2 linked regions of the Oryzias latipes genome follow. The protein of the gene in region 2 binds, or shares a complex with, the protein of the main gene of each other region. Links are inferred from orthologs where the notes say so. Each region holds a gene or a part of one and is shown on either strand. Other genes may lie near its edges.

Region 1 (4,254 bases), on a different chromosome or scaffold from region 2:
CTGAACCTTTTTTCTTCACTGATTTGTGAACCTCACTGGTGTCCACGGATTACATGAAATCTTTCCACCTTTATCCACCTTTGTCATGGTAGGGAGAGCACGGCAATATAAGGGTGGGGTCATCTGAGATAGCACAAAGGTTAACCAGTAAGGGCTCACATGAGGACAAAACCGCAAAGCAAAAAGGAAATGAGTCAATACAGTTAAAGCGAAATTGGAATTTTTGATAATTGCACCAGCACTTATCACTGCGCCGGCTTCTGTAAAACAACCTTTTGCTTCATCATCTGGGCAAAAACAAGTGGTAAGCGATTAACTTTCCCTCTGAATTGATGCTTTATTCAACCCATCGGGACGATCAGCATATATATATCGCCGAATCTTGACTGCAGCGGTGGTACTGCGCGACGCGGACTATATGTTATATATATGTACTATATGTTACGTGATGCGGCGCGATGCGCCGCATCACGTAACATATAGTACGCTGTTTATGAGAAAAGTGATCCAAATCGGAAAAAAACAAGAATAAAGTACTAAAACTGATTGAAAAATATTTTTTTTTGTAAATGACCATGGTATAAGCGGGTTAATGGCCTTCGAAGTGTGCGGTTACTACTTTTTAACGCACCTCCGCTTCGCGTCGGACGGTTCAGGCTTCCACGGCATGCGTTAAAAAGTAGTAACCGCACACTTCGTCGGCCATTAACTCTTACGTAATACATTTTCAAAATAGCCTGATTTGTTTGCAGGATTCATTGTTGTTATTCTAATTTGGTGGGTTTAGCCCCATGTTTTTGAGATCGTACAGAAGCCTATAAGTAAAAAGCACAAAGTGCTTTAAAAATCCTAGAAGCAATAGACAATTATTTATTTTCTTATCCATTTTACATTTGATTGAGAAAAAGGTAGCAGGGCAGCAGGCTGATTTGCAGCCACGAGTTGTTCACTTCTCATAAATAATGATAATAAAATACAGGGTTGTGTCAGGAAAGGCATAAAGGTCTCTGCCAGATCACCTGTGCAAATTAGTGAAAGCTGATTCGCTGTGGTGACCTCTGAAAGATATGCCGAAAAGTGAACAACAACCAAAATGACAAAGGGGAATGTCTGGCCGAAATGTTGTGTTCTCACGCTTGATACTTACCAGGACCACGATCGGACCATTTTGAAGCAGCACGACTTTTACTTCAAACTAAAACAAGTTTTTAACTTTCAACTTTTAATGTTCAGCTAGCTTCCAGCATGGCTGAACTCCAATAATTCAGCTAAAACTTGACCTACCGTAATTGAACTTAAGCCACATGAAAGGCTCATTTCAAATACTTTTTTTTTTACCAGACTGAAACTAGTTGCAGACTTATAGGCAACATTTTCATGCATTTTATTTAAAAAAGAAATCCTATTTAAAAACGTCGTTTTGGTTTGTTTTCGCGCTAAATTAAATCATTTATGTTGGGGAAGTAGATGAAAGACAGCGACAGTCATTCGGCAAAAGATTTTTTGCACAGATATCAGATCAACTGAGTTTAAATAATCTACTGCCGTTTTTGCAAACATTTTTGGGCGGAGAGCACTAAGGCAAAAAAAAAAACAATTATGATTCATTTGGCAGGAACATCAGGACATGAAAGTGGCTAAAAATAAACTTTTTTAACTGAAACAAAATGGCAATACCCTACAAAGCCACATTCATCTTGCCACCGCAAAATGAGTCAAATGATAAAAATGTTTAGATCATTCTTATAGTCACATACATTAAAGGCTAAACATAATTAAAAAAAAAAATGTAAAAATCCTGAAATGTATGTAAAAGTCTTTGGCGCAGACAAAAAAAAACTCAACTCTAGGTTTTTCTATTTCTCTTATCCAAAGATTATTCATTACAAAAGATTCCAAAATCTTTTATAGATTTCTAAAACAAAATCACAATTAGATAACTTTGGTAATCTATTAATTATTTTAAGCATTTATTGTTATATCCAAAATTGGTTGTTGTTTTTTTAAACTGCAGGAAACTGAGAATTGTATTTCCTAGAATCACCAACTTTTAATAAACTAATCATTTGAATTAAGAAAAGACCAAAAATGCATGAGTACTCAGACTTTCATTTTAATTTCTGTTTCAAAATTCACAAAAGGGGGAAAGAACCTGCACGTTCTTCACTGAAGCTGTCACTCAGACTGGGAGACGTGTTGGTACAAGCTGTCAGGGTGTTTCAGTTGCGCATTGAGCAGAGGATGCATTTGTAATAAGACTCCCAATGAAACCTCTTATTATCAGACAAACATTAATAACTCAAGACATGATGCACTTTATATAAAAGTGTACCTTGAGGAGGCTTTGTCGCATGAAAAGCTTCAGAGTAGATCTCTTCACTTGGACTCAGCAGGGTAGAGTATTGTTCTTGATTTGCTTCATCTAAAGATTAAAATAGAGACAAACAAATTTTAGAAGCAACACCTGGCAGTCACTTCTAAAGTAACAACATATTTGTCAACCTATATATACACAGGCAAAAAAAGAAGATTAGTTTCTATACTGAAAAAAAATTAATTCAGATCAAAATCAAGAACATCAGGTCTTAAAAGAAGATTTTTCCCACCTTCAGTTTTGGCCTCCTGCTTCGGTTTCTCTGCTCTTTTTTCTTTGTCCTCTGTCTCAGCCTTTGCAGGGGCCTCTTGCATCTCCATTGCTTTGCACTTTTTGTTAACTTTCGATTTACCCGACAAGTCTCTGGTCAACTGACAATGAGTTGCAAAACCCTTTCTGTCCGCAGGCTGGACTTCAGATGACACCCAGTGTGGTCAAGTCAAACTTTTTGTTAAAAAGAGAAATAAAAGTGGGGAAAAAAAAGGTCCCCTTATTTAAGTGTCCAATCAAAAGTGAGTGATGGACAGAATTAAAAAAAAAAAAAAACTTCCTCACAGACATCTTTCGTGTCTTTGTCCTTCCCCTAAACCACATGTGAACCAAACAAATACTAACCTAACTGAGATGGTTTTAAAGGGAAACAGTTTATTCCGCTTAAAAAGAACCACACACGCTCAAACAAATACAGTTTATAAATACAGAATAGATCCTAAAAAATAATTTAACAAAATATAAAATATAAACGTGTACTTTTAACTCCTTTCTCTCTACTTCAGCATTTAAATACCAGTGTTTTCCAACTTCCCCACTGTATTTCCAGATTACTTCTAATGGTATTCAAAAGCAATCCCTTACAATGTTACTTTCTCAATGCAATGCATGACGTTTGAATTCCTGCAGGAGTTTCTTTGTTACACCTGCTGAAGTTTAATCAATAAATAAACAAAGACACAAAGTATTCTACTTTAAGATGAAGGCGAATATGTCGCAATTTATACATAGTATAAATTCAAAAATAACTATTGGAGGACCGACGCTCAGGTTGAGTGCAGCTGGTAGGTTTCATTGACTGATTATGAGAACTGGACCGAGTGAGTGTCACGTCACCCATAAAAAGTAGTTTACATCCAGCTCCAAACGAAGTGTTTTCAGACGCCAATTTAATGCAGTATGGATGTCACCATGTTGGGACCAGAAATCGTTAGGAAGCAGTGATTGGCCTGAATCGGTTTGAGTCAATAGATCTCGGCAATCAGGAGAGAGCTTGTTGGAAGACCACACCCCCTACCACTAAAAACCGAGCCCAGGAGAATCTGTCAGACGTTATGATTGTTCACATGCCTTCATTGAGGCATCTGATTGGCTAGTTTATAACTTGAATAACTTAAGGTAGCACAGCAACAATAGTTATTCTGATGAATATAGGCATTCTTTAGAATAACCATGATGTTGATTTTACGTATAGATTTTTGTCATTTGTTTCGGATGTGCAAGTTATTCAAGTTTTCAGAAGCCTCAACAAAAGTATGTACTCTCACGTCTAATGCAATGTTGGTTAAATTCTTCCTAGCCCACTGGAAGTGGTACAGGTGTGGCCCTCCAGCAAGCTCATTCCTGATTGGTAAGCCAGTCTTTGTCTCATTGGTTGCTATTCCAGTAACACATCAATATACATGAGTTAAAAAATTTTCAGCAAAGCTGGAAAAAAATTGACATTATTTTTATCAGGATGATTTAATTTCAAACAATGTGCACATTTTGTAATAAGTGCAATAAATATAAATAAAACATAGAAAGAATAAAGGGGGAACCCAATTCATATCTGATGTTTTTTTTTCCTTTTAATTATGGATAGCAAAAAGAAAAAAACAAATATTACA
Region 2 (4,022 bases):
GGTTACTTTGCGGAAGACGAGCTTGCTGCTGCGAGTGCGCACCAGCGTGTAAATCCGGGCGTAGAGCACCACGATGGCCATGAGGATGATGCTGAAGACGGTGGTGCAGAACAGGATGTAGGTCTTGTGGTAGAGTGGCAGGACGGTGGAGCACTCCGACATCCTGTGGATGCAGTTCCAGCCCATCAGCGGCAGCCCGCCCAGCATCGCTGCAATCATCCACACCGTGCTGATGAGGAGGAAGACGCGGCACGTGTTGCCGTTGTTGTGCAGCTTCATTTTCAGCATGGTGAGGTGGCGCTCAATGGCGATGGCCAGCAGGCTGAAGACAGATGCCGCCAGAGCCACAAACATGCTGCCCTCTCTCAGGAACCACTGTGTGGGTGTCAACTTGTAGGTGTTGGCTCCAGACAGCAGGATATTGGCGGTGTACACAACGCCGGCCAGCAGGTCGGACAGCGCCAGGTTCCCAATGAAGTAGTACATGGGCTTATGAAACTTCTTGGTCCTCCAAATGGTGGCAAGAACCAGGATGTTCTCCAGGATGATGAAGCAGCACACGATGATGAAGATCACAGAGTCAGCCTTCAGACCGGAGTCCTGCTGCGTCTTCCGAAACTTGCCAGTGAAGTTGTAGTGTTTGGCAATGAGATCGGAGTAGCTGGACTCAGCCATGGTCTGTAGCTGCAGATGACGTCCAGCAGAGGGAGCTGTGTCTTTAAACTTCAGTGGCTCATGTCAGAGGGTCACCCTGAGGAAGAGCAGAGAGGGTCCTGCTGCCAAAGGAGGACATGCTTCTGTGGAGAGAAAAAAATGTCCTTGTTAACAGATGAGCCTTGATCAGTTCTGCAAACTTCAGTCTTCCCTCAAGAAAGACGCAACATTTATGTCCAAAGTCAAATTGTTCACTCAAATGATGAATTTTTAAGCTTCATAACCAAAAATCTGAACCACAAGTATCATAGCAAACTCAAAATGTAAAAAGAGCAACATATGCGTACAGTTTTCATGCTTTTTAATAACTTTATGCCTTATACATTCTGTACTTTTTTAATCCCTATATATTTTTTACAACATTTAGAACTTGTCTTTACATTTTGGTGCAGAGATTTTCAAGCCTATCAAAGAGGAAATAGAAAACAATGCATCCTTTTTGTCTTTTTCTGTTCTTTAAGATCCAAAAAACCCACTGACGCCAGGACACCACACTGGCGTTGTGTCAACGATAGTGCATCCGTTCCTTAAACATCCCTGTTGGCATAAAAATGCTCATATTCTGACCAATGTTCTTGTCTTTTCTAAATATGAGTCTGCAGGGAAAAAACAGTTTGACCTTTACTGGAAGTGAGTTTGTAAAAAAAAAAAAAAGAGTTTGCCAAAGTTAATGGCATGGCCCTTTTGTGCCCTTGATAAAAGTCCGAGGTCTTGTCTTTGTTTTTTTCTTTTTACCCGAAAAATGTGTACCAAGTTCTGTGATTGTAGAAATAGTTCTGTGGGCTTCTACGTTATGAAATAATCATTAACATACATGGATTTTTTGTTGTTGTTGATGTTTGTTTGTTTTCTGGGATTCATATAAAAACCTATCCGTTCACATGTCACTCAGATGTCATTCCGAGCAGATCCAGTCAGATCTTCCATCTCCTCCAACCTCATCATCCTCTGATGTGCCTTAGGTAAGGTATAGGCACTGACACCACCAGCTGTTTAGACCAGATCTGATCATGTGACATATCTGACCTCCACAAACTATTAAGTTCTCAAAATAGTTTTAAAATGTCTCAAACTCAGGTTTGGAGTTGAAGATTGATGGAAATTATGCTACTTCAAACTAATAATAATAATAATAATAATAATAATAATAATAATAATAATAATAATAGAAATAAAAATAAGAATGATAAAGTTTGAAATGTTCTAAACAATTTTGTCACACGTATGCACCCTGGAGTTACAGCCTGTTACCAGCAGAGGGTGCTATAGTTATCTTTGTATTGACTTTTTTTCCTCACTTATTGTCAAAAGACAAAAAAAATAATTTTTATGTTCACATATTTTCATATACGATTTAACAATTAAAAAGAAAGAAAGTCCCGACTATATTTTGTATTTTATTTGTTTGCTTGGTTTGTCAATTTAGCGATAAAAAGCCTATAAATTCAAAATCAGTTTGATAGAACAAACTAACAAGATTTTTGCTGCTGTTTTATTGTTATATTCCTTCTCATTTTTAAAGTTACCACTTAAAAATCATCTGTGGTACCCCTGATTAAATAAGCTCATCCTTATTTGGAGTTCATTTTTTCATCATTTGCTAAAAACTGATTATAGGCGAGTTAAAGGGGGGAAATATGTATAATTATATAAAGCTGATTTTCCATCAAACATCTCAGGAGGACCTCCTGATGAACCCTGACGTCTTATTATAAAGAAGGCACGCGCGCTCTAGAGACCTATAAAACATTTCAGATTCATTTTAAAACGGGTTTTCTGGATTTCTGTTATAAAGCAGCATTATGTTCTCTTTAATCTGTAACATCACACACGTCTTCATTTGAACTGACCTGGGTTCAGCAGCTGACTTGTCTTTTCCTCAGGCTGAAGCTCCACTTTGTTTTTCACGCAAAAAAAATAAAATAACATTAAAAAAAACACTTTCTGAGTTTTCTCTCAGTCTCAAGTTGACGCGAAGAAAAGGGAAGAGCAGCTTTCGGCACCATAAAAAATATTTTTGTTATCCTCCACCTCCAGCCAGAGTCCGCAAGAAGAGAGTCCGACAGTGGAAGGAGAGCGCGCACTAGAACACGCGCGCGTGCACGGAGAGCAAGGGGTGGGGGAAGGCAAGCTCTAAAGATTTACACAGCTTTATATTTAGAAAAAGATCTGAGGAATCGCATATTAATAAATGGTGAAAAGATGATATAAAAAAACATAAATCATAATTTATTATGTATTTTAAATGATGAATTATTTATGAAACATCATTAAACGGTGTATTTTTTGGCATGGGCGGAGCTACAGGGGCCAAGAAAGTTTGGATTGTTTAAAGCTCATTTAAAAAAAATCCTTACTACAAACTCTTACACGCATTATTTATACCACCTTAGCTTAAAATAACTACTCTTTTAATATTATTAATAAATAAAAACAAAACAGTTTGAAATACATGTTTTTAATCTTTTCTTTTCTAATGGCGGTCCACTACTGTTCCCTTTTGCAACTCCTGCCCCTCTACTGCGCATGGTGGTACAGTGGTGAGCACTCTAGCTTCACAGCAAAAAGGATCCTGGTTCAAATCTCACCTGTGCATGTGTGTTTTCTCCTCCCACCTTCAAAAAACAAAAACAAAAAATGAAGGTGCAGTGTGTGTTTGGTCCTGCAACAGGCTGGTGACCTGTCCAGGGTGTATCCCACCTTCACCCAACAGTAGCTGGGTTGGCTCCTGCTGCCCTGTGACCTCAGAAGAGAATCGACAGGTTCTGAACATGTTGGGATGGATATATTCTTAAACCAAACAGTAATATAGCATTTTTTTGGATTGAACTGAGTTCTGCACGGTGGCATGATGTTGAAAGCAACACAGAAAAACAGTTCAAGCCATGTAATGGATGCTTTTTGTTCTCAAATTTAGCAAAAGAGGGAACATGCTTTTCAGAGCTTTGAGAGGGTTTTTGTGTGTGACTTTGAAGCACACATACAGGTTTTCAGCTCCATATGTATTTGTTGTCACTATGTCATCAGAACACAACAGTTGTGACATTTGGGTTTCAAAATTCATGAAAAGCAAATATTAACTTTTCTGATTGTCTGCTAGATATTCATCCATAACAGGTAATAAACTATCAAAGGCTTGATTAGCTCAGCTCACAGATCAGTTGTACAATATTTTACTCTGTGTAACCCTGTTACCAATTTTAGGAGGTAACAGCCTTCTTCAGGAGCAGAATTTTTTTTTTTTTTAGCAGTTACTGGTGACCAAGAGAACAAACTTACTTATGTAAATAAGTAAAATAAAAATTAAT

What was found. Proteins that work in one complex are often made in the same cells at the same time.
Region 1: the proteins of s1pr1 (region 2) and early activation antigen CD69 are in contact, whole or in part, in a cryo-EM structure (PDB 8G94), measured with the Homo sapiens proteins. The link is inferred for Oryzias latipes from reciprocal best matches to the Homo sapiens genes S1PR1 and CD69. Residues at the interface, in NP_001307659.1 of Homo sapiens: Asn157, Leu160, Phe161, Ile164, Ser165, Trp168, Val169, Leu172, Ile173, Gly176, Ile179, Met180, Gly181; in NP_001772.1 of Homo sapiens: Val41, Ala44, Val45, Val48, Val49, Thr52, Ile53, Ile56, Ile59, Ala60, Val63.

The regions. Positions count from the first base shown.
Region 1 is NC_019874.2:20,028,528-20,032,781, forward strand, and holds the start of early activation antigen CD69, read right to left. Parts: upstream 2,804-4,254; 5' UTR 2,695-2,803; coding exon 2,607-2,694; intron 2,423-2,606; coding exon 2,333-2,422; intron 1-2,332. UniProt on the Homo sapiens protein: Transmembrane protein expressed mainly on T-cells resident in mucosa that plays an essential role in immune cell homeostasis.
Region 2 is NC_019862.2:24,607,000-24,611,021, forward strand, and holds the start of s1pr1 (sphingosine 1-phosphate receptor 1), read right to left. Parts: upstream 2,804-4,022; 5' UTR 2,565-2,803; intron 798-2,564; 5' UTR 676-797; coding exon 1-675.